4 linked regions of the Drosophila melanogaster genome follow. Changing the gene in region 2 together with the main gene of any one other region gives a genetic interaction. Each region holds a gene or a part of one and is shown on either strand. Other genes may lie near its edges.

The links.
Region 1: of corto (region 2) and E(z), changing one enhances a phenotype caused by changing the other (phenotypic enhancement), as found in Drosophila melanogaster (one study listed by BioGRID).
Region 3: of corto (region 2) and mxc, changing one enhances a phenotype caused by changing the other (phenotypic enhancement), as found in Drosophila melanogaster (one study listed by BioGRID).
Region 4: of corto (region 2) and CycG, changing one enhances a phenotype caused by changing the other (phenotypic enhancement), as found in Drosophila melanogaster (one study listed by BioGRID).

The regions. Positions count from the first base shown.
Region 1 is NT_037436.4:10,634,075-10,639,485, reverse strand, and holds E(z) (enhancer of zeste), read left to right. Parts: upstream 1-1,606; 5' UTR 1,607-1,724; coding exon 1,725-1,846; intron 1,847-1,908; coding exon 1,909-2,640; intron 2,641-2,701; coding exon 2,702-2,862; intron 2,863-3,045; coding exon 3,046-3,060; intron 3,061-3,392; coding exon 3,393-3,490; intron 3,491-3,548; coding exon 3,549-3,738; intron 3,739-3,800; coding exon 3,801-4,370; intron 4,371-4,438; coding exon 4,439-4,848; 3' UTR 4,849-4,911; downstream 4,912-5,411. Other genes in the region: Cnep1r2 (CTD nuclear envelope phosphatase 1 regulatory subunit 2), read right to left, coding at 117-271, 786-932, 992-1,063, 1,161-1,182; CG34001 (uncharacterized protein), read right to left, coding at 4,914-5,219, 5,288-5,411. UniProt on the Drosophila melanogaster protein: Polycomb group (PcG) protein. Catalytic subunit of the Esc/E(z) complex, which methylates 'Lys-9' and 'Lys-27' of histone H3, leading to transcriptional repression of the affected target gene.
Region 2 is NT_033777.3:5,082,360-5,088,701, reverse strand, and holds the start of corto (corto), read left to right. Parts: upstream 1-1,629; 5' UTR 1,630-2,676; coding exon 2,677-4,329; 3' UTR 4,330-6,342. UniProt on the Drosophila melanogaster protein: Essential protein required for proper condensation of mitotic chromosomes and progression through mitosis. Binds to specific polytene chromosome sites, many of which are shared with the posterior sex combs (Psc) protein.
Region 3 is NC_004354.4:9,237,465-9,245,097, forward strand, and holds the start of mxc (multi sex combs), read right to left. Parts: upstream 6,004-7,633; 5' UTR 5,741-6,003; coding exon 5,695-5,740; intron 5,637-5,694; coding exon 5,469-5,636; intron 5,406-5,468; coding exon 5,231-5,405; intron 5,162-5,230; coding exon 4,861-5,161; intron 4,757-4,860; coding exon 790-4,756; intron 728-789; coding exon 25-727; intron 1-24. Other genes in the region: Larp7 (La related protein 7), read left to right, coding at 6,412-6,682, 6,743-7,633.
Region 4 is NT_033777.3:31,607,936-31,612,611, reverse strand, and holds the start of CycG (cyclin G), read left to right. Parts: upstream 1-1,633; 5' UTR 1,634-1,731; intron 1,732-2,796; exon of another isoform or gene 2,797-3,292; intron 3,293-4,676. Other genes in the region: Med (medea), read right to left, coding at 1-278, 365-633, 868-931. UniProt on the Drosophila melanogaster protein: Cyclin with roles in multiple processes including transcription, meiotic recombination repair, cell cycle regulation, and promotion of normal growth and metabolism.

The sequences.
Region 1 (5,411 bases), on a different chromosome or scaffold from region 2:
GGTACTTTAAAAATACGCTTACAAAGCGAGGGTGTCCGAATCAACATGTAGGAAAAAAGAAAAGGGTAAGGGAACTAGCAATTAACTAAATAAACGTCCTGGAAGCTGGCCGGTGCTCATGTACTGTTGTTGTTACTTTGCCGCGGCTTGAGTATCAGCTTCCCCGTGTCGTCACAGCTCATATTAAAGTCTCCCAGTACCATTCGCGTTCTCGATGTAATTATTTGCGGAGCTATGACTAGTTTCTGTATGCCCAGGATGAACAGGACGACTGCGGAGAGAAATGATAAGGTTTACAAAATCAGTAAGTCAGTTTCAAACCAAAAAAATTAGATTAGATTAAATGGAAGTGTTTGTTAGCTGAAAATTCTTAATCAGTTGGACTATCAATATTGATATATACAAATCGAATTTGATAAAGCGAAGAGCTTTGACAAGATTAAAGGCAACCTAATGTTGCTAAAATTTGGAGAATGTACTTATGTAGTTTGCATAGATGTGATAGATATAAGGAGTGTATTCTACTCAAAATAACAGTAGAAATACCTAAAAATTTGAAATTCTTGATTTTGATCCTTTCTTTTTACCGAGTAGCCTGAGATAACCTGATATATAGTATCGACTTGCTCTACGATATGATTATATGGATTTAAATAGCATGGTATGGCTTGGTATTAAAATTATTCTCCATACTAGGTAGAATATCCGAGGTTCAATGACCGCCGCTGTTGACTACAAAAAGTGACCTATGTACGGAGTACAGTAGTGGCTACACCGATTCTTACCCAATGTTAGGGTGGCGACTGTGAAGACGGGATGAATCCAGAGGGACTCCGTTAGCGGTACAACGGTGGTGCGCGGATCGCGTAGCCAGTACCAGGCGCTGATGGCGGTGCACATGGACATGGCGGAAAGGACAACTGCAAGAAGCTCTATGGTTATTACGGATTGTAATGCTCCCTGGTGTTCTCATTATACGGATGCAACTTACTGCGCCAGCGGAACGTCGAGGGACGGTACGATGAAACCACTTCGGTGAGGCGCCGCTCGAAGGCCTTGAGATCTGCAGAGGAGCGAGGAAAACAAACCCAGTTATGGTTGGTAAACATAGTCAGTGGCTTGCGCGTTTTCCGGCTCTCTTTTGCCGGCGAGTTACATACCTTCGCAGGCTGACGGTTCCATTGCAGCTATTTCCTCAAAGCTCGTGGCCGTCTTAATGCGATTAAATTTGTCCAGTTTAAATATTATTGTATTTATTATTATTATTTGATGAGGTTCTCATAGCTTTCTTTTCCTCTTTTTATGTTTTTGATGACATTCCACGTTTGAGAGCACTGATAACGGGCTGCGTTTCTCAACACTACACAAAGCAGGGTCGTACCAAAGAGGGGCTCTTTGTTTATTTCCTACTTTCAGTACAAAATGGTTGTATAGCTAATTTAAAGTGAGTATTATATTTATGTATTATTTATATTATATTTATATTATTTTAATACAAAAATATCATAGTTTTTATTATAATATAAATATAATTAATGGCTTACCGGACAAATTAAGTACCCACTAAATGGTCTTCTACATACACCCATGTGTCTAAGTTATTCTTCCTGCAGTACAACGGTCACACTGCGGCAGCTGTTGCAAAAAAAGGCGGATAATATTTGTAGCAAAATCAGTGTTTTTTATACGTAAAATCAACAAATATAAAGTCCCTCGAAGGCATTATGAATAGCACTAAAGTGCCGCCCGAGTGGAAGAGGCGTGTCAAGTCGGAGTACATCAAAATCAGGCAGCAGAAGCGCTACAAACGTGCCGACGAGATCAAGGAGGCGTGGATAAGAAACTGGTAAGCGCGGGAGAGATGGTGGATGTCTGGGAATCGAAAATCTATGTACACATATCCTCCAGGGACGAGCACAACCACAATGTACAGGATCTGTACTGCGAGTCGAAGGTTTGGCAGGCTAAACCCTACGATCCGCCGCATGTGGACTGTGTGAAGCGGGCGGAGGTGACTAGCTACAATGGCATTCCCAGCGGTCCGCAAAAGGTGCCCATTTGCGTGATCAACGCGGTCACTCCCATACCCACCATGTACACGTGGGCACCAACACAGCAGAACTTCATGGTGGAGGATGAGACGGTGCTGCACAATATACCCTATATGGGCGACGAGGTCCTCGATAAGGATGGCAAGTTCATAGAGGAACTGATCAAAAACTACGATGGCAAGGTTCACGGCGACAAGGATCCCTCGTTCATGGACGATGCCATCTTCGTAGAACTGGTGCACGCCCTTATGCGCTCCTACAGCAAGGAACTGGAGGAAGCCGCTCCGGGTACAGCGACTGCCATTAAAACAGAGACGTTGGCGAAATCAAAACAGGGCGAAGATGATGGGGTAGTTGATGTTGACGCAGATGGTGAATCTCCCATGAAGCTTGAGAAAACCGACAGCAAAGGGGATCTGACTGAAGTTGAGAAGAAGGAAACTGAAGAACCGCTGGAGACTGAAGATGCGGATGTTAAGCCCGATGTGGAAGAAGTCAAGGACAAGCTGCCCTTCCCTGCGCCCATTATTTTTCAGGCCATCAGCGCTAACTTTCCAGACAAGGGCACCGCGCAAGAGCTCAAAGAAAAGTATGTAATTTGATAACCAGGTTAGTAAATATCCCTTCTTACGGCTTTTTCTTTTTGCTAGGTACATTGAGCTTACGGAGCACCAGGATCCGGAGCGCCCACAGGAGTGCACACCCAACATTGACGGCATCAAGGCCGAGAGCGTTTCCCGGGAAAGGACTATGCACTCCTTTCACACGCTCTTCTGTCGTCGTTGCTTCAAATACGACTGCTTCCTGCACCGTAAGTTAAACGATGGGAACTGCTGCCAGCTGGGTTACCTAATGACTTTACGTTTTGTTTTTGCTTTTCTTTTCTTGTTTGGAAACAATATTATCTTACCAAAAAACACAAATCTGTACCATTTCTTAAACCCCCAAAAAAAAAAACGAAATTCCAAAATGTATTGAATTAATTGCAATTTAGGTCACCATGTGCAGGGTGAGTCGTTGTTGTAGTTGTTGTTTCGATAACCACACGCACACACTCTCATGCCGTTTGCCCGTCAACGCCTCCGCATCCTCATCTCGCTGTCTATGAATATAATTTTTATAATAACCCATATCGGTGGATAATTTGGCTATGTTTGTCATGTGTCTAAATTGACCCCTCGGTGTTGCTCACCTCATTTTCGTGTGGCTTTGGCTGGACCATTTCTCTCTATCTCTTCAAATGTAACCGATTACCCTCATGCTAATCCAAAAGCGTTTCATAGACATCAAGTGATTTTCGCCCGATTGAGTTATTCTAATCCCGCTGCTCTGTGTTCACAGGCTTGCAAGGACATGCGGGTCCCAATCTCCAGAAGCGTCGCTATCCGGAACTGAAGCCTTTCGCCGAACCTTGCAGCAACTCCTGCTACATGTTGATCGTAAGTTGGATGCACTTTATAAATTTAAATGGTATTTTAATTCTGTTATATGCTGCAGGATGGCATGAAGGAAAAGCTGGCGGCCGATAGCAAGACACCTCCCATTGATTCCTGCAATGAGGCCAGCTCCGAGGACAGTAATGACAGCAACAGTCAGTTTAGCAACAAGGACTTTAATCATGAGAATAGCAAGGATAATGGCCTGACTGTAAATAGCGCCGCTGTGGCTGAGATCAACTCCATTATGGGTCAGTTTTAAGTTAGCAGATTGGTTGGACCATGTGTTAAATATTTCACTTTTTCTCACCAGCTGGCATGATGAACATCACCAGTACGCAGTGCGTTTGGACAGGCGCTGACCAAGCACTTTATCGGGTCTTGCATAAAGTGTATTTAAAGAACTACTGCGCGATTGCGCACAACATGCTGACCAAGACCTGTCGTCAGGTGTACGAGTTTGCCCAGAAGGAGGATGCTGAGTTTAGCTTCGAGGATTTGCGACAGGACTTCACACCTCCGCGCAAGAAGAAGAAGAAGCAACGTCTGTGGTCGCTGCACTGTCGTAAGATTCAGCTAAAGAAGGACTCATCCTCGAATCACGTGTACAACTACACGCCCTGCGACCATCCCGGACATCCATGCGACATGAACTGCTCCTGCATTCAGACACAAAACTTCTGCGAAAAGTTCTGCAACTGCAGCAGCGATTGCCAGAATCGTTTCCCCGGCTGTCGCTGCAAGGCTCAGTGCAATACGAAGCAGTGTCCTTGCTATCTGGCAGTGCGCGAGTGTGATCCCGATCTGTGCCAGGCCTGCGGAGCGGATCAGTTTAAGCTGACCAAGATCACGTGCAAGAACGTGTGCGTGCAGCGAGGACTGCGTAAGAAACCTTCTTATATATCCATATTGGTCTTCGCCACTGTCAACTAATTTAATCTTCAATTGCAGACAAGCACCTGCTCATGGCTCCGTCTGACATCGCCGGCTGGGGCATCTTTCTTAAGGAGGGTGCGCAAAAGAATGAGTTCATTTCGGAATATTGTGGCGAGATCATATCCCAAGATGAAGCCGATCGCCGTGGCAAGGTTTACGACAAGTACATGTGCTCATTTCTTTTCAATCTGAACAACGATTTTGTTGTGGATGCCACTCGGAAGGGCAACAAGATTCGGTTTGCCAATCATTCCATTAATCCCAATTGCTATGCCAAGGTTATGATGGTCACCGGCGATCATCGCATCGGCATCTTTGCCAAGCGGGCCATTCAGCCCGGCGAAGAGCTATTCTTTGACTACAGATACGGACCCACGGAGCAGCTGAAGTTCGTGGGCATAGAGCGTGAAATGGAAATTGTTTGATAACGAGTCTACTTATGAAAATCGTATCATACAAATTGAATAAAACTATATTTTTGAAAACACACCTAAACGGATTTAGCTACATTGGCTATAATTGGTTTGGGTCGCGATTTGAAGATTAATTTTTTGGTGCAAACGGCGCGCACAGTGTACTCCGTTCTTTGGCGACTCTTGTGCTCCTGGGCGATCGTATGATCCAGCACTGTGCGCTCCGCTCCCGTGGTGGCGTTCAGCATACTGACATCCTGCGAGGCCATGCTCGTTTCTAGGAGTCGTTCTCCCTCATTGGTCTTGGACTTTTCCAGCACCGCAAATGGTTTATCCAACTTTTGTTCACGTCCCTGAAGAATGTGATGTCCAATGATGAGAATCTTATGATATAAGTAAAATCAGATTGTTTAAGAGCTGGTTAAATTATAACTTTACAATTACAACTCACAGGTTGGCCATATTTATTGTAGTAGAGATCGCCAATAAACTGGCCGTGCATATCCTGGTTGCTCCGCACCTCCAGGTCGCCTTGCAGCTCTATAATGGCCCAATCGCCTTTGCCAGCGTTTTGT
Region 2 (6,342 bases):
CCATACAAATAATACGGCGGAAGCACCAATAAAGAAAAGGCTTAAAAGCAGCAGCGACAGCACCATAAAAGTCGGCATAAAGCTACAACACTATAGTGTCGATATTAACCCAAACCAGACTCCAAAAACCATCCACAATCCCAGATGCAATGAAGACAATTCATTAACAAAACCATGGCAACAACAGTAGAAAAGCAGGAAATCATTAAGGCTATCAAACAATAGTATCCATTAACTTGTATACATGCACCAATCATGTTCTTTCTTAAGAGTCTTAGAATAATTAGCACATAATACGAATTATTAGTTTTTAGTAGACAATAAGAAGCATTAGTTTTACTTTTTGGATTAAAAGACATGCTTCAATGCAAATCCGCCACATAGGTTTTCATTTTACTTGCACATCGAATAGCAACAACACTGAAATGCAATGGCAACTTGACAGCAACAACTTTCAGCCCCACAACAACAACAGCTGCAACAGCGATTCCAACAAACATATGCTTTGAGAAAAAAAAAAACAAATATGTACCAAGAGAGACAGCCAGACTCACCAACACACTCGCACGCGGACACACCTCCCCAAATAACAAAACAGCTGATTTGTTATCAGCAGTTGCTGAATGAGCCCCACAGAGCGAGCCACTCTCTTGCAGCAACAACAAAATGGGGGGAAAAAAACGACGCCAACGGCGGCTGCTATGGCAACGACCTTCCTTATTTATTACAATGTGTGTAATTCCCAGCCGTTTTCTCACTCTCTCTCGCTCTCTCGCTGTGTGTGTGCGAGCGAGACAGTGCCCTTTCCTGACTTAAATTGCCCATTTTTTAGTACAGAAATGTTTAATATCGCTGTCTGTTTGAGTTTTTGCAATTTGTTTTCCTTTTTTGGTCTGCAGAAAGTCTCTCAGTGCGCAGTTTAGCTTTCGTATTCCAAAACCGGAGAGGTTCTTGGGGTATTTGTTGTATTCTTATATTAAGGAACTACGTAGGTGTGTTCGAAGTTGCGTCGCAGAGGATTTTTAGGCAGTTGTGTGGAGATCACACTGCTTATGTTGATATTATATGGGTTTTAAGTTTTAGGGGTGTACCAAAGTGCTCAGAAATACATAAGTAAAAATAACCCATTCCCATTTTAACCAGGTGATGCTGATAGATTCATTCAACTCCCCGTTTTTAGTGCGGCTCAATTAGCTCTCAACTCGCCGTTAACCCCTTTAGAACCCATCTGCTTTTACGACCCCATAAAGCTGCTCCCAAAAATGCGTTTGCCGTAAAAAATTAAAGCACTAAAACGGTTAAAGACATCGTATTACAAAATAATGTGCGCTCTCTCGCTCTTTTCTCGCCTCTTTGTCTCTCTCTGTCTCGACCAAAGCAGTTGTAAAGATGGCCGCCGTGTAGTAACATGGCTGAATGTATACCACACACACACACGCAGGCACAGAGAGAGCGGTCACAGAGAGGGAGAGAGAGCGGCCATTGAATGCAATTTATATAGGAAAGCAACAATAACAATAACTCTGCGCTCGTCTCCTGCGACTGTGTGTGTGCTGAATACGTCACGGAACATCAGCTGTGCCGAACAGCAGGTAGGCGTCGGCAGAATGGAGCGAAGACGACGTTTCGAGTCAGTCGCTTCAAAGAGCTCGATTCGTGCGGACATAGGAGGAGATAAAGCGTGGTCTGTGGCACGTAATTAACGAAGAAGAGAGTTAAGAAGATTCAACGTCGCGTCGAAGGTGAACACGCAGTTAAAACCCAAAAACAAACGCAACGCAGCCAATTGTGATACGAAAAATAAGTAAATCGGCAGACAATCAACAAAAACAATAAAAGCAAAGCCTACACACAGGCGTAGGCGTCTAGCCAACAGCTGTTTTTCGTGCGCGCTCCGTATTCAGCATACTCGCTGCGCTTACAAACGTCGGCAGAGACCGCGGCAGAGAAGCAAGCGGCGGCAGCAAAACTACAAAGCAGAAACTACAATTCAGATCGCGTTTTTCTTCGGAGTGGATGAGACGTTCGTTCGGCAGTTCTATTGCGCATAGAACTAACAAGTTACCTACTCCGCGAACTCACCCCCGCGAGAAAAGAACAGAACAGAGCATAACCGAATGGAAAGAAGACAAGGAGTAGCTAAAAAGCAACGGTTAAGTTAGCCAGCAAAAACGGGCAAAAAGACTGAAAACACACGTGGATTGTTCACTCACCCCGACACGCGCACCCACTCGCACTCACACTCACCCAGCAGCTCCAACTGTTCGCTGCATTTATGTAAAACCAAACAAAGACTGACTAAAACGCTAATAAATATACAATAAACGTAACGAAACAAAGTTAAACACGCGAACAGCAGCTAATATTATACGGGTTAAAGCGAATTCCAAAGCAAAGCAAACACACATATGGATTAAGGTTCCTCCTATCTCAAAACACAAAAACAAAAGCAACAACCAACTCACGGATTACCTGCAGCGGCAAATTTACCGTTAGCCGCTCTTTTTGGATTACCAGTGCCAATAAAACCACAAAAGTGAATTTTTTCGAAAGTGAAGAAAGCGAAAAACATCCGCAAAATGATAAAAATCTAAATCTAAGTAAATAAGCAAACCAAAAGCGAATTCTGTGTTACCGAAACGAGAGCAAAAGCTAAAAGATCCCCTGAATACAGCAATGACGATGGCCGCCTGTTATGCCAACTACGACATGTCGTCCCTGTCGCACGGCATGTCGGCCCTGTCCGCCCTGCAGCAGCAACAGCAGCAGCAACAGCAGCAGCACAGCCAGACGCAGCAGCAGCATCATCACCAGCAGCAGCAGCAACACATGTACCACGCCGCCGTGGCTGCCCACCAGCAGCAGTTGCTGCAACAGCAGCAGCAGCAGCAACACCACCGCCATCACCACCAGCCCGCCAACACCAGCAGCAGCAGCAACTCGCGCCACAGCCATGCGGCGGCGACCCAAACGCAGGTCGCCGCCGCGGTTGCCAACAGCAGACAACAACAACAACAGCAACAACAGCAGCAACAGCAGCAGCAGCAGCAGCAGACTGCCAGCAGCAACAGCAACGCAGCCCCCGCTCCATCGCCGCAGAAGGACTACAGCATCCCGCTGCACGTGGACTGCAGCGTGGAGTACGAGCTGCCCAACCAGCCCAAGCCGCCGGCGGGCCAGAGAGTGGAGCCCCTGCTGATGATCCACCCGTGCTACTTCCGCAAGATGGAGTCGCAGCGGCGCAGCCCGTTCGTGAACAACATGCATGCGACCGCGCGGGCGGTGAGCAGCAGCTCGCTGAGCAGCGGAGCGGCCCTGGGCGGAGGCGGAAGCGGTGCGGCGGTGGCCACGGCGCCCAGCAGTAGTGCCGCGCGGCGTGGAGCCCGGGCGGCTACGAGCGCCCAGCAGCAGCAACAACAGCAGCAACGCTACCAACAGCAACAGCAGCAACTGCGGCAACAGCACCAGCAGATGTCGCAGATGTCGCAGCAGGCCCACTATCCCCAGCAACAGTCTAGTCTGGTCCGCCAGCACCAGCAGCAGCAACAGCAGCAGCAGCAGCAGCAACGTGCCAGCAGCAACCAAAGCCAACGCCAAAGCCAAAGTCAGAGCCAGAGCCAGAGCCATGCAGCCAACTCAGCGGCGGCAGCTGCGGCCCAGGCCTCGATAGCCGCCGCAGCCGCCGGCCAGTGGGATCAACTGGCTGCGCTGGCCGCCCGCACCGCCCTCACGCCGCACCACATGCTGCATCCCCACAGCCACTACGCGGCCAAGGGTAGTGGCGGCGGAGCAGGGGGCGGGAAGCGGGACGCCATGATCTCCGGCAGCTACGGACAGACGGCGGTCGCCTCGGGGAAGCTGCAACAGTCGCAGGTGCAGCAGCAGCAGCCACAGCAGCAACAGCAACACTGCCTGCCTCCGCCGCCGTGGGACGCGACGTCCATGCTGATGGACCGCTCGCCGATGGCCACAGTTCCTAGCAATTATCAGGCCGGCCCTGACACCAATCCCATGCGCCTCTACTCGGCCACGCCCACCGCCGGAGCGGCCTCGGGCGGGTCGGCGTCGGTGGGCGGAGGCGGGGCGGTGAGTGGTGCGGGGGCGACGGGAGCAGTGAACACGGCCACCGACAAGTTGAGCGGAAAGTACCGCCAGTACTTGCGGTCCCAGCGGATGCACCCGTACGCGGCGGCCGCCTCGCTCAACTTGGCAGCCGCCGCCGCTGCCGCCGGCCAGACCTCGTTTGTGCCGTTCAGTTCGGCGGCCACGGCGGTGGCGGCCACGCCCACATTCCAGCACCTGCCGCAGATCTCCTGCTACAACGTGTGATGCAGCACCAGCAGCAACCAGGACAACGGCAACATCAGCAGCAGCAACAGCAACTTGCAACACATGAGACAGGCGCCTACCAAGTACGCGTCGATGAAATAGCCGCCTCAAGGAATAATTAATAGATCCTCCCCTAAAACAGTACTATATATACACACCCATCAAAGCTTTTAGAATCAAAAGTAATTAACTCTAAAAATATTAAGAGATGAAACAAAATTCTGTCTAGCTGCTATGAGAAATTGTTGTCCGACGGTGAGAAAAGAGGAAATGAGCGATCTTTTTTTCTTTTAGTAATGGTAGTAATTGATAAACGATACAAAAACAAACAACAACAAAAAAAAAAAATGCAAACTATTGTAGTGATATTTGTTATAAAATAATTTTAGTAATTAATTTAATTTAAATTAAACAACCAACAAGAAACAACAGCAACCGCTCTGTGTAAGCCAACCACATAAACAATAACAACTGCAACAACGGCAAAAACAAGAACTGCAACAACAACAACAACGGCAGCAACATTAAACAAAACAATTGCTAAAAGTTACACATACGCATATTTAATTACAAATCAGCAAAATGTTACAACAACCATTTACCGAAAGAATACGAAAATATGAAAGGAAAATTATTACCAAACGATGGAGAGAGAAGAGTAAAGCAGAAAAAAGCAACACAAAAAATACGAATAAAAATTATTCAAAATTATGCAACGTAATTTGAAGCGAGATATGCAAAAATTAAGTAAATTGTGTTTTCAATTAACGTAGCGAGCAAGAAAAGCATAGTTCAAGTGATTTGGCCGCGGCAAGGAAAACTCCCCTTGCCGTCGGCTTTTGTGGCCAACTTTTCACACTTCCCACCACCACCGACCGACTAACTCCTCTTTCTGTTCGCCTTGATTCGATTTTCATCTTCGCTCCCTTTGTTTCCTCATTCTGCTCCGCCTCATGGCCTCCTCCTCTGCGGTGAGCCGTGATTGATTATTGTCATTGATGGAGGACCGGGCAGCGGGTTGGGGTGACCTCGGCGCACAGCACAGGGGTCCCTCGCTAATGGCAAACCGTTGAGCTGAGACGAATTTCGAAAACTTACAGGGCTCCGATTTATGGCTAGACATGAGGACGTCTCTTGAAATTTCACTATTAATATCTTATACTTAGATACTTATATACTATTTAATGTATTTGAGCCAGCTGTTGAAGGACTAAATCTGGCAACACACTACGATATCGAGAGATGTTGATTTCCACTCTATGTACATATATGTGTTCCACGACGTCGGTTATTTCGCTTTTACGCCTTTGTTTTCGATTAGAAGTTTAAATACGTTCTTGTTCACGCCACCAGCGGCCTCACTGTACTTACCTTTCAAAGACCAGCATTCTCGAAGTTCATTCGTTACAGTGATATAACCGAACTGCCTTTGCCTTCAGTGCTTACGGCTCTAATTTTGGTCTTTGTTGCGAGGTGAAAACGCAGCAAAATCTAATGGTTTCGAGTGGCCAGGAAACGCGAGATGTTATCAGCTGAAATTGTTTTTGCTCGCCCCCAAGGTCCCTCGGGAAAGTGTGTGCTTTCATTACTGATTGCATGTCGAGGCGATTGGCGCGGTTCCATGGGAGTTGCTGGGTTCCGGAAAGCAAATAGCTGAGTAATTTATGCATGGGCAGGAAAACCCGCTGAGGATTCAGCGCGCCATTAAGCCAATCGTCGAATTAATTAAGCCAAAAAAGAGTTTTCAACTGAAATGAACGACATCCGCTGCCGGGGGACCGGCACTGACTCATCTGTCCGCTTTAGGCTGCCCTACATCCAAACAAGTCCGACTCTACTCCACGACCATGCGGTCGCAATCCACTCGAGATTCAAGAAAGAAAAGACTTTAGTCCAATTGCAGAACGACGGAACCATTGCAGGAATTTGTGGGACCAGTTTAGACGCATCGGTTAGTCGAAGAAATGGCCAGACCACATATTAATCCATAACTTATTCAACATACAAGTCATT
Region 3 (7,633 bases), on a different chromosome or scaffold from region 2:
AAAATGCATATGTTCACCACTTACATGGTGGCCACCTCCAGATCTTCCTCATCTTGCGGCCCACTCCTGGATGGGGGCTTCTCCACCAGCGGCGTAGACGTGGCCGAAGGCTGTTCGCCAGCAGCAGCAACTTCCGCTCCCGTTCCACTTCCTCCACTTACACTTGCACTTCCCCCTGTTGCCGCTGTCCCGCCACTATTGCCGGTCAGGCGGCGTATCCGCTTCTTGGGTATATTGCGAATGGCGCTGGCCACCGGTTGGCCCAGACAGAGCACCTGGGCACTGGCTATGCGCAGCGTATGCAGCTGTTCGTCATCGGTCATCAAGCGCATCTGATAGCTTTTGAAATAGCTCGATGGCTGACGTATCATCGGATTGCTGGACTTTGGTCCGTTGTCCGCATATGTGAAATTATAGGTAAAACGCTCCTGGCTGCTGCTCAGGCACATGTCCTGCTCGAAGTCGCTGTCATCGGGCTCCGAATCGCATTTCGATGGCGGTGGATCCTGTTTAGGTTCTTGTATTGTTTGCTGAATTTGCGGCTTTTGCTTTGGAGATTTTTGGGTGGATTCCGCCTCCGCTACAATGGGCAGTGCCGGAGCATCGGTTGTGGAGGAGGGTACCCTTGCCTCGACACGTTTCTTGGCCGGTTTCTTGGTATTTGCCTTGATTTGGGTCTTCGTCTTTGCTCCTTCAGTGGATTTGGAGAGATCTTCCGGAGCAGGAGCTAGTTTTGCAAAGACAATATATTAGTTTCAATACCCATTCGATTGGATCTTAACTACTTACTTTTATTTTCGACTAGGCGCGAGGATCGTCGCATACAGAGATTGGCTGGCTCCCCGTTCTGTACCTTTTTCGGGCGTCCACGTTTTCCAGGGGCAGGCTGTGCCGCAATTTCAACCGCTGCTCGATTTACCTTTGGTTTGATTACAATCGGTAATGATTCCTGTTTTTTCGCAGATAGATTGAGGGCCATGAGCAGAGCGGGATCCAATTTGCCGGCTGGCGGATCTGCTGGCGCATCTGTGGCGGCACCGACTGGCGGACCAGTAGCCTCTGTGGACTTAACATTCGGATTTGGTTCTATTTGCTTTTTAGCTGCTTTTGTTTTCAGTGGTTCGATGTGCTTTCGATTTTTTGGCGATTTTTGACTGCTTGGATTGGCCAGTTTGGCATTTTCACGCATTGCAGTGAGCTTCTTGTTGGCAGTCTTTCTCCCTTGACCTTTGATCGGTTGGGGTTGCTCCTTAAACTTGGCCACTACACGTTGGCGTTTTTCATTCAGCTGCTGGCGTTGGTGTTCCTGACGGCTTGTAGAGGCCGTTGGAAGAGCGACGGATGAAGGATCGTCCGCCTCTGGCGGAGGCGGTGGAGGCGGCGGAGGAGCAGCTGGCGGTGTTAGAGGAAGCGGCGGAGGCGGAACAGGAGCAGCCACCGGTTTAGGAGGTGTAGGTTTTGTTTGCTGTTCTCCACTGGTATCCGTCTCCTGGGCCTGCTCTTTGCTTGGTGTCAGCCAATTCCGGATAGGATAGCGGACCTCCCCGTCCTGGCTAACTAACTGACCTGGCTGACTGTCGATAGCAAGCATGGGCAGAACTGCATCCTCAGAACCGGCTGCCTTCAGCCACTCTTCGTCTTCCGTGCTGCTAATGTTCGATAAGTTATCTATGTTTAGTAGCATCTCCTTTTTCTTGCTGCACTTTTCGTCGGCATTCTCGCCATTTGCCTCTTCCCCTCTGCTTTCCCCCTTTCCGCTGTGAGAACTTGACGAGGATGAGGAACTCGATGATGAACTACTGGAGGAGCTTGAGCTCGAACTGGATGAGGACGATGAACTGGTTGCCGAGGAGCTAGAATTACTAGATCCTTCAATAATTGCCTCGGGCAGGCCAGGCAAAAGTTTATAGTGCGGAAGCTGCTGCTGATCGGAGGGAAATGAGCCAGCTGTAGCGGACTCCGCACTGTCCACCGCCTCACTGCCAAAGGATCGAACGCGTCGAAGGACGGTGGGCTCCAAGGACAGGACAACGGGTTGCTTCACAGCATCTGGTGTCTTTTCTAAAACCGTTTCATTCTTTTCACCATCGTTTTCAGTTTCCTTCAGATGTTCATCCATTGGCTTCTCTGGTCTTTTCGGTGTTTTCTTATTGTCCTCAGCATGTTTGTCCTCCGGATGAAGGCTTTTCTTTGAACACTCCATTTCTATTAGCTCTTGATTCTTCTGTTGCGAAAGCTCATCCTCTGCCTCAACCTTTTTCTTCTTGGGCGTTGACCGAACCTTGGGTTGTTTCTTATCCTGCGGATCACCCCACTGTTGTATTGCGCACTGCGCATTCGCATCGGTGTGTTCCGCTTCATCCGGACGATAATAGGAACTGCCTGAAGAGTACTCAGTCTTGGCAGCACTGCCTATCGGAGTACCGGGCATCTGTCCAAAAGGTGTCAAGCGAAATCCAGGTGTGATGGCACTCAACTGGGGCGTATCCATAATACTTTTGGTATCCGAACCAAAGAGAAAGCTGCTACTGGGCAACTTGCCATATGGCGTGTCCAGAGGTGGAATGGCCATTCCTGGCGTGGGTGGGATGATAGCGGCTACACCAACACCAGCTTCCTTTGATGTGGTGTCATCTTCTACGGCTCCGCTTGCTCCTGCTCCAATGGGAGATGCTTTAAACGGAGTGTCCAGAAGCATGGCCATGTTGGGTCGCGACAGTTCTGCCGCTAAGGCCTTCGCTTGCTCCTGATCCTTTGCATATATGCATCCTTGTTCACTTTTCTTCTTCTGATCCTTTTCCTCGATCTCCGCTTGGGTTTCGTCTATGGTTTCTTCTATGGTTTCGTCTATGATTTCTTCTTTTGCCTCAAACACCTTCTTTTTCTTCAGGAGCTTTGGTTTCTGAGGAGTGATAATCTTGATGTTGATCTTCTCAGTGGAATCCCCAACACTGCGCTGCGGTTTCTTTGCCAGATTCATGGGCTCCGCCTTCGCTTTGACCATTGGAGCCTTTCGTGCTCTCGACGAAGCTGAAGTGGGTGTATCTTTCTTCTTTGGACGCCTCGAGCGGCCGGAGGCCTTTACCTCCTCGCGCTTGGAGTTAATCTCACGCAGCCGATTTTCAAGGTCAGAATTGGAGCCATGCAACTGGCGCTGCCAGGCGGCCATATCGTTATCTACAACTGCGTCTCCTCTGGCGGCGGAGCCTACATCTGGCTTTCCTTCAATCTTCTGCTGCTCCTGGAGATTCTCTTTGCTGGCCTCGGCGCTGTCATCGTGAGCGGTCGACGATGCGCTGCAGGCAGAGTTATTTTTGGGCATAATTTTCTTTTGATCCTTATCCGTCTTGGTTTCCGATTCCGCCTGGGAGATGATTCGCTTGCAGGCCTTGACCGCTGCTTGTCGCTTCTGTTTTCTTTTGGGCGTGGCCACCAACGGAGGAACCGGAGCTGCTGACGGAGCGGCAGCTGGAGGATGGGCCCTGATCACCGTCTGATTGCTGCACTCCTCCATGGCGAAGAGTGGTGGCACTCCTCCAAGGCCCTCGTTTGAGCTCAGGTCGCAGGCGGCCTGGATGATCTCCACATGGTTGATAATTGGCTTCTCTTGGGCTTTGGCCAGCAAACCAGGTCGCCTAGTGGACAGCGGCGTATTGGAATGCAGGACGCCACCAGGAGGAACCTTAGGGGAAAAAGTTAATGTTCGTACATGCGAAGTTCTCTTTCGGGGAGTGGATAAGCTACGAAAGGCCTTTACGTTAATTATTCCCGACGTCGAGGGTGTCACTCTCTCCATGACTTGTCTAGATGAATCCAGGGATGCGGGTGGAAACTTTCGCTGCTCCTCCTCTAGTTGATCTATCGGTTGCTCTTTTGCCGCCGTTCCCTGGCCCGCCTTGTTGTCCACTTTGGCTGCATCTTTTATCAACTGGACTGGAGGCTCCACGCTTGGGGGAGGTGGTTGTTTCTGGGCGCTGCTAATGATAATGGAATTGGGGGGCAGCTGATTGGCAGACAGAGTAATCGGCTCCGGCAGCGATATCTCAATGTGCGAGTCATCAATGTTGGCAAAGGCATCCGGCCCAAGTTGCTGGGCTACCCACTCGTTGTTCACCAGGAATGGAAGATGCGACAGCAGTCCACCGTTCGAGAGGTACATGGGAAACGTCAGCTGCCCGGTGGTGGCGTCCACACAAACCTGACCAGCAGCTGTCGCCTCCACCTCGCTGAGCATTGACGCTGGATCGGCAAAATTTATATTGAGGCCTTCGCTTGTAAAGCTGATATTGGACGTATCCAAACCAGCAACCATTTTTTGGACACTCTCGTTGGAGTTCAGTACGATAAGCTTGGAGATGGAGAAATTGGGATCTGCATTGGTTCCTGCGGTGGCTGCAACGGCGGTGCGAATAATAAGCGGTGTTTGCGGCGGCACGGGATCCACGGCCTGTTCTGTCGGCAGCACATCTCCATCAGCAGCGGGAACAATAGCAGCCCCAGCAGCATCAGAGGCAGGCGACACACCAGGGTCCTCCTCATTTGCCAATGGTTCATCCCCGATCACCACCTCCTGTATGATGCGATCGAACGAGGGATCCTTCTCGGTGGCCTCCAGTATGTTCTTCACTAGACCATCCAACATGGCGTCACAGCTTACCGACGGATTGTTAACAGTCACCGTCTGCAGCGCTACGTTAATATTCTTTACCAGCGTCTCCTGGAAGTCCTGATTCTTAATTATCGCGCAGGCCAGTTCCTGAAATCAATGTAAATCGAAAGAGTGTTTTTTGTTTAGAATACATAATAGATGCACTATTGGTTAATTAAGCAGATATGCATTAAGCATGTCTATGGACTTACAGGCATGCTTTGCGGCGTGAGCAGAAGTGGATTGGACTCGGTATGACCTTGGCGCGGCGTGGAATTGTTGCGCGGACCAGGACCATTCGCCGGAAGTAAGTCATCCTCCTCCAAGTCCTCGGTGGCCGTTGTGCTCTCGCCATCCTCTTCGTCCAGTTCCGCCTCGCAGTCATCCTGGCTGCCTAGGAAACTCTGCCTGACCTTGTCGCGGTTAACGCTGCAGTAGAAGTGTGGCGGCAGCAGACGCGGTCGCTTGCTAAACGAAGGCGAAGAAATGCTGTTCACGGGAGAATGGGTGCGCCTGGGGAAAAGGGGTAAGAGAGCAATGAGAATTCCGATGTGCTTGTGTCAAGGAAAAATCTATAATTACAAGCGCCTTCTCTTGCGATGCGACTGTGATATGGTGGGCTCGCCTGGGGTGCTGCTTTCATTGGTACAGCTACTCCTCTCGCCGGCGGCTATCAGTTCGCTGACCCGTTCGGACAGCTTCATCTGCTGCAGCTGCATACGCATATCCAGCGGCAGCTTCTGCACGGCACCGGCCACTGAAAAGAGAGATTTTCGGTCAGCCGCAAAAAAAAAGAAACGCAAGGAGCGTGCTAATTTACCCAAGCTTGTGATCTTGACATGCTCGCAGATTATCTCCTCCAGACCCCCGTGAAGGAAGTTGTGCGTCTGCAGGCCCTGTTTAAGGGCCAGGAACTCGTGGCGCAGGTGAGGCGATGTGCGACACAGAGTGTGTGCGGCCCTTTTTAGATTCTGGTTGACTAGGTAGCCTACAAAATGGAAGAGCATAAATATTGCGAGCTAGAAAAGCGTCCAGGGAAAACCTACCCAGGACCAAGCGAGCCACGTCCGAATGCAGGACAATCGACTCCATGGCTGGACTTTCCGACTCAGCTAAGCGTCACCATCCACTCGCTTTTCGCCTTGCCTTTCTTTTTTTTTTCGCTTGCAAGACTTTAGGTTTATCGAACGCACTTGTAATGCCTTATTATTGACTGTTGCAGGTTTAATCACTCAATAGTTAGTCGGAATTGAATCAGCGCTTTAATTCGAGAGAGAATAAACCATTTTCTCGCCTATTCGCCGACTATTTTCGTTTTGTTGTTGCCGATTCTAGCGGCGCACTGTACAACACACATAGGTTAGCATAGCATCTGTGTTTTTTTTGCCGCCCGCCAAAACAACGCAGTAGGGTTGCCACAGCGCCGAACTATCGATATAGTCCCGTTGTTTGCGCTTGGCTGCCAAGCCTTATTAGGAGCGTGGGAAATAATGGTAATAATTAAAGCAAAGAAATACGTCTCTTTCGCTTAAAACAAATTATAGCAGTTTTTATTGCTTTGATGGTCTTGCTTCAATTCGTTTTTATGTGTACGTTACAGTACTTAGAATCCGATATTCGTTAAACTATCGATATGGGAATGCTGCAAATACCTGGCATCCCAGCAATTCATAACTAGACGGCGTTGCCAAATAGATCAGAACGCAAAAACCAAGTGCAATATTTTATTCGAGTGACTTAGATTACTGGTTAACTGGCACTCAATGGCTGCCAAGAGTATCGAGAAGGAGAAGGGCGAGGGTCAGGAGCCCGCGACATCAGCGGAGAAACCCGATCCAGCCGCACCCACTGAACCAGCTGAGGAAAATTCCAAAGAACCGGCGCCGGAAGACGCATCGCCGGATAAAAAGGATGGTGGACGCAAAAGGAAGAGGCATTTGTTCAATTCGATTCGCGGTCAAATGGAATTCTACTTCGGTGACGCCAACTTGAGCAAGGATCGCTTCCTTCGGCGCTACGTAGAGCAGGATCCATGTGAGTAGCTAAGGTTGGCTCACCAGCCAACATAACACTGATCATGTTATTCTTTTACAGATGTACCATTGGAAATCTTTCTCACTTTCAATAAGATAAAGACGCTCACCCAGGATGTGCAGCAGATAGCCAAGGCACTAAGCAACTCCCAGCTTCTGGAGCTGGATGAGACCGAACTAAAGGTCAAGCGACGTACCAAGCTACCAGATCAGCGCGATGTCAACGACAAAACCTTGTATGTAGAGGCCCTGCCTGCAAATGCCACTCACGATTGGCTGAAGGAGGTATTCAGCCGCTACGGACCGGTGGCCTACGTGTCCCTGCCCCACTATCCGGGCACTAAGAAGATCAAGGAATTTGCCTTTATCGAGTTCGAAAAGAGCGGGTCCTTGGAGAAAGCTGTGAAGGCTTTTGCCCAGATACAGGGCGTTTTGTCCGTAGAAACCGATCCCAGTGATCTGGCCAGTGTGCGCTCCTTTCAGCAGCAGCAGCAGATACAACAGAAAGCGGAGCAGCCGCAGTCAGAGGCTGAACAGGTTGAGTTGCCAAAGCGAAATCTAAAAAGGGAGGCCACCGACAAGGATCGCGAGGAGATACACGAGGTGAAACGGGTTAAGTTGGAGGAGGGCCAGCCTAGCGAGACCTCTACAGCTGGGGAAACAGCGAGTGAAACGGATGCAGAGGGCACAGCCGAAGCCTCCGAGCAGGAGGACAAAACAGAGGCAACCGATGGCGATGAAGCTGCCAAAAAGCGCCGTCGCAAGCGCAAGAAGAAGGCGATCGTGGACAAGCCAAACATTGAGCCCAGTGCCCTGGAGCTCAAGGTGCTACCCAAGACTAGTTGGAGCAGTATGCGCAATAAGTACTTGAATCTACAGCGTCGCATCGTCAGTGAGGCAAAGAGCAAGCTGTGGCGAGAAAATCACCCACAAAATCAGCAGCACCCTCACC
Region 4 (4,676 bases), about 27 Mb from region 2:
ATGTCGTTGCCATCGATGTCCATGCTGCCCACCAGCGGACCCGCTGAGTATTCGTCCTTCACCAGGCGACTGGGGCCCGACTGCAGACTCAGGCCGGACAGATCGATGCCCGGAGAGACGACGCGCTCGTAGTGGTAGGGATTCACGCACACCGAGTCGCACTTGAGATCGAAGGCGAAGGCGCAGTACTTGACGTGCTTCAGCTCGTTCTTGTGCAGGTCAGGCCAGCGCCAAATCCGGGCGTATATGACGTGCGGAAAACCCTTGCGTCCAGCAACCTTCGATAGAGAATGGTAAAGTGGTAAGTTCATTGCTTATACACATTATCAAATTCGATGCAGAAAGTCTGAGAGACTCAACCTACCTGCAAGCGACCATCGAGGGTGCGCTGTATGGTCACGCACTTGCTGGGATGGGCTCCGTTCGTGGTGATGGCCGTGATCAAGGAGTCCAGTTCGTCGCGCTTCTCCTTGAGCTTTTTGACCAGCGACTCGATGGCTCGCTTGGCAAATCCCTCGCTTTCGCCGCCCTGCCGATGGCACATCAGCGAGTGGACGATGCTCAGACAGGCGTCCGCCGATGTGGGGGCGTTCGAGGGCGGCGGCGGCATTTGCACCATGTCCCGGACAATTACTGCAGATGGTGGGGGTAATTAGCTCTGAGTTTTTTTAGTAGATCAACGGATACTGTACAGCTCAATCCAATTTCATTTTAAATTTCAAAGAGTTTCAAGTTTATCAACAGTAAATAATAATGCTACGGTAAGATTTAGGATTGTCCACAATACTTGGCCACAAATCGATTTTAGAATAACAACTCGAAAAGGAGTTCACTATGACTGCTGCTCCTCTAGAGAACTTCACTTACTGTCCTGCGGGGCTACGGCGCCGTACATGTGGGCGGGCGGACACGCCCCCGAGCCGCCGCCCATGCCAAAGTCCTGGGCGAGCGAGCCCAGAGTGCGAGCATGGGCATCCACGGCGGCGTTGTTGCTGGATCCGGATCCGGAATGGGGATCGTGAGCGGCGGAGAGCGGAGTGGGGATCGTACGGTGGCTGGAGCAGGCGTAATCGAAGCCGGCGGCGGGCAAAAACAAGGCGTAGAATCACTGGCCAAAGAAAAGCCAAACAAAGGCGGCACGCGAATGTGAGCACAAAACAAACGGCGGCTGGATGGCTTTGTGTGAGTGGGCTTGGGGGGTGTTGCACACACGCATACACACACACACGCGCGCGCTGAACTAACTCGACTTGAACTCCCACAAAGTTGGCGTAATTTCCCTGCGAAAACTCTCCTCTCCTTCGTCTTCTCCACCTCCTTCTTTACGCACACTGGCACACGCACTGCACACACACACGCCCAGCGAGAAGTTTCCTGCTCAAATCCTTGGTAGAGACTGGCTTTTACTGTTTTTCGTGGAATTTCATAGTTTGCACTTAATTGGCTGCTTGGGAAACTCGAAAGTACAATTTTCCGCCCGACGAAATCCAGTTTTCCAGCCAATTTGCCTTTTTTTCCTTTTTTATTTTGTTGCGGCTGTGCAGAGTGACCGTTTCGCGATACAACATGGGCGGGCGTTGCCAGATGGGCAAAGCGCGAAATACCTACCTTGGATTTTTACAAACACCTAGTTTGGTCAGTTCTCGAAGATTTGATTTGAGAATAAGTTTATATTTTTTGGAAATAAGAAGCAAGAAAAGCAGATACTGATCAAAACGCAGAGGCATCCGGGTAAGTGCCATGAGATTTGTTACACCGACTTACACTCATTTCGCGGGCTGTTCAGTGCGTAAAACGAACTTTTTGAAAGGCCGAAAATCAATCGCCACGCGTTTTTTCCCATTCGCATGTGTGTGTGTGTGTGACGAAATTGAGGAAAGTTTCTTATCGTTGAGATTGGGGAAAATCGAAGGCTGAACATCTTGTGCAACAAGTTAATTGATGTTTTCGCATTCCCATTGAAAAGTTTCTTTCCATTGCTTTAATTGCTAAAATTCATTCATAAAAAATTGCCGTTGATGAGTCGTTTGTGTGACAGGTTGTTTCTAGAAATATGCATGTGTGTGTAGTGGGGCCTGAAATAGACCACCCCCTTCCCCTCTTCTCTTGAAAATGTTCACTTGGCAACAGTAACGAATTTCCTTTTCGCCGGAAATGCATTTCTCCGGCTTTTGTAAAACAGTTTGCTGCGTAGTTTCCATCTTCAAAATATCTTATCAAAATGCGTAATTTCAACGCTTATCTGAACGGAATTTCGATTTGCGGCGTACATATGTAAATATGTTTATATTTTGGCAATGACATTGATTGTGAAATTATGTGTGGGAAGTTTGCGATTCCCTGCCAAAACAGAAGCTTCCATTTGTAATAGTAATTTGGGAACTCAATTTAACTTCGAGGATTTGTTGCCCTCATATTTTTTAATTCCCTAACTAATTAAATCACTTGTCATAAAATTGTCTACATCCCGCATTCAGAAGCATAAAGTTATTATTTAATCCCTATCAGGCTTACGGTGTTGAAAATTGTTCGACACCAAAAAGAATTATTGCGGGCTTATTTGAGTTCGGTGTTCAAAATTGTTCGACATCAAAAAAGAATTATTGCGGGCTTATTAGGGTTCGATAACATTACAGCGAAATGTTAGTTAACAGAGAGAATCGAATAACATACACATCGATAGTGAGGGACTATCGCTTCCGCTGGCTTAGGGTATTTTATAGTACAAATTTCAGTTCGCACCAAATCTGTGGAACTTGTAGGCCTACTGGTAACACTGGTCGCTCACAATATTCTTCATTCGTAAAAAAACAACAAAGCGGAGAAGTACCGTTTTTGCGAGCGCGAGTGTTTGAATGTGTTTGTTTGCTTAGGAATAGAAAATAGAAATTGAAAAGGACCAAGTGCAAACGTACAAAGCTTTGCTAAAGCAGAACTAAAAAAAATCAGCAGGAGGAAAATGCACAGCTGATGGAGAAAAGTCCCAAGCACCTTCAGCCCAGTGTGTGTGGGAAAAATCGATCCGCAGACGGGAAAAATTGAGGATAAAATGCCAGCCTAATAAACAGAGTTCCAATTGTGATACAAACGCAGTACAAATTAGTTAACAACTAGCTTAAATGGCCAACGACAAGGTTTTATAGCTAACTATCTGACGCAATTGAATAAGCGTAAAGCTGCCAGCCAATTTATTCACTTATTTTCGAGTGCAATAGAAGCAAAAATTCACAACTAAACAAAGTTCATCTCAACATTCCTGCGCAACACAAAACAACAAAATGGCTGTAAAAACGTAAGAAAATGCTAAATTTATTTAAGAGTGGAAAAGTCGATAAAATGCAAAAAGAGAATCAAGGTTTTTTTCTTCATCTATCAGATGATTTTGTTTGTAGGAAAAAAGAAATTATATTAGGCATACATACAAAATTCGTTCATTTACGTGTTTGTTTCGCTTCCATTTGTTTCACAGCTGTTTGTCTGGTGTTTGTGTGTGTAAGCGAGAGAGTGGATTTGGGGTCCGCTATTCGTAGGTCGTTGCTTACAGAGTGAGCGAGAGGGTCGAACGAGGGGTGGGCGAGGAACTATGCTGCTTGCAGTGGTATGTGTGTTTGAGGGGCTGTGCTTTTTATGCAAGCTGTACAACATACATATGTAATGAGACTAATGTACGCCTTTGTTTCCTTGGCACCGCCTTATTCGCCTAGAAAACCCATTCCTATTGCCTTCCCCCATTTGCATATCTGTTTTATTTCCAATTTGCGTCAATTGTTTTACTTCATATTCCCCTTTTCCTTTGTTGTTCTCCCCACAATTTGTGTGTTCCGCTTCCAAAGTTCCCTTGCCATCGTACACACACGCGAGCTGCAAACAAAGACTTTGTATGTGTGTATGTTGTTCCCATTCGGATTTTTACCTCATACACACACTCACACCAGCACAGCAACTTGATTGGTTTGGGAGTGTGCGTGCTCTGGCTTGGAATTGCGTCAGCCAAAAATAAAATATGTGCGACGGATAAAACTACTTGTTTTCGTTTCAAAAACACTTTTGCTCATTTTAGGAAGCAACTTGTTTCTGGAAAACACAAGTAACAACTGCTATTACATTCCGTTTTGTACCCCGTTTCTCCTGATTTCACCTTCAGCGCATTTACTTTGTTTTCTGGGTCATATTTGTTGATTTCAATTTGTTGCGCAGTCGCAAAGTCGCGCAGAATTGCTTAATTTGTTGATTTTCATATTTTCCATAGCCTCCAAAATAATATAAATACAACGCATAAAACGACCCCACGCACGCATACTAATGAAACAGTTGGGTTGGTGTGGGTGTGTGGGTGTTGCTGTACCGTTGTTTTATTTATTCCTCTCCACACTTGTTTACATGTAAAAAGGTCTCTTCTATTCTCTGCCTACCTTCTTTGTGGAATGAATAGAGATGGGAACGGGTGTGAAAAGGGGAGAATTCATCATTAACCCTTAGGTGGGCAATGTCCAACTATTTGGGTCACGTCTACTAAGTAAGTCGCTTTTGGAATAAAGAGATTAACTTACAATTCCCGTTTATATATTCCCCTAAAGCCATTGAACCAAAATGATTAGTTTAAGGCTAAATAACCCGAAATCCAGCTGACATCTATTTGGCTTCCACTTGTGGTTAGGGTGGCGCCTTTTTAGCAG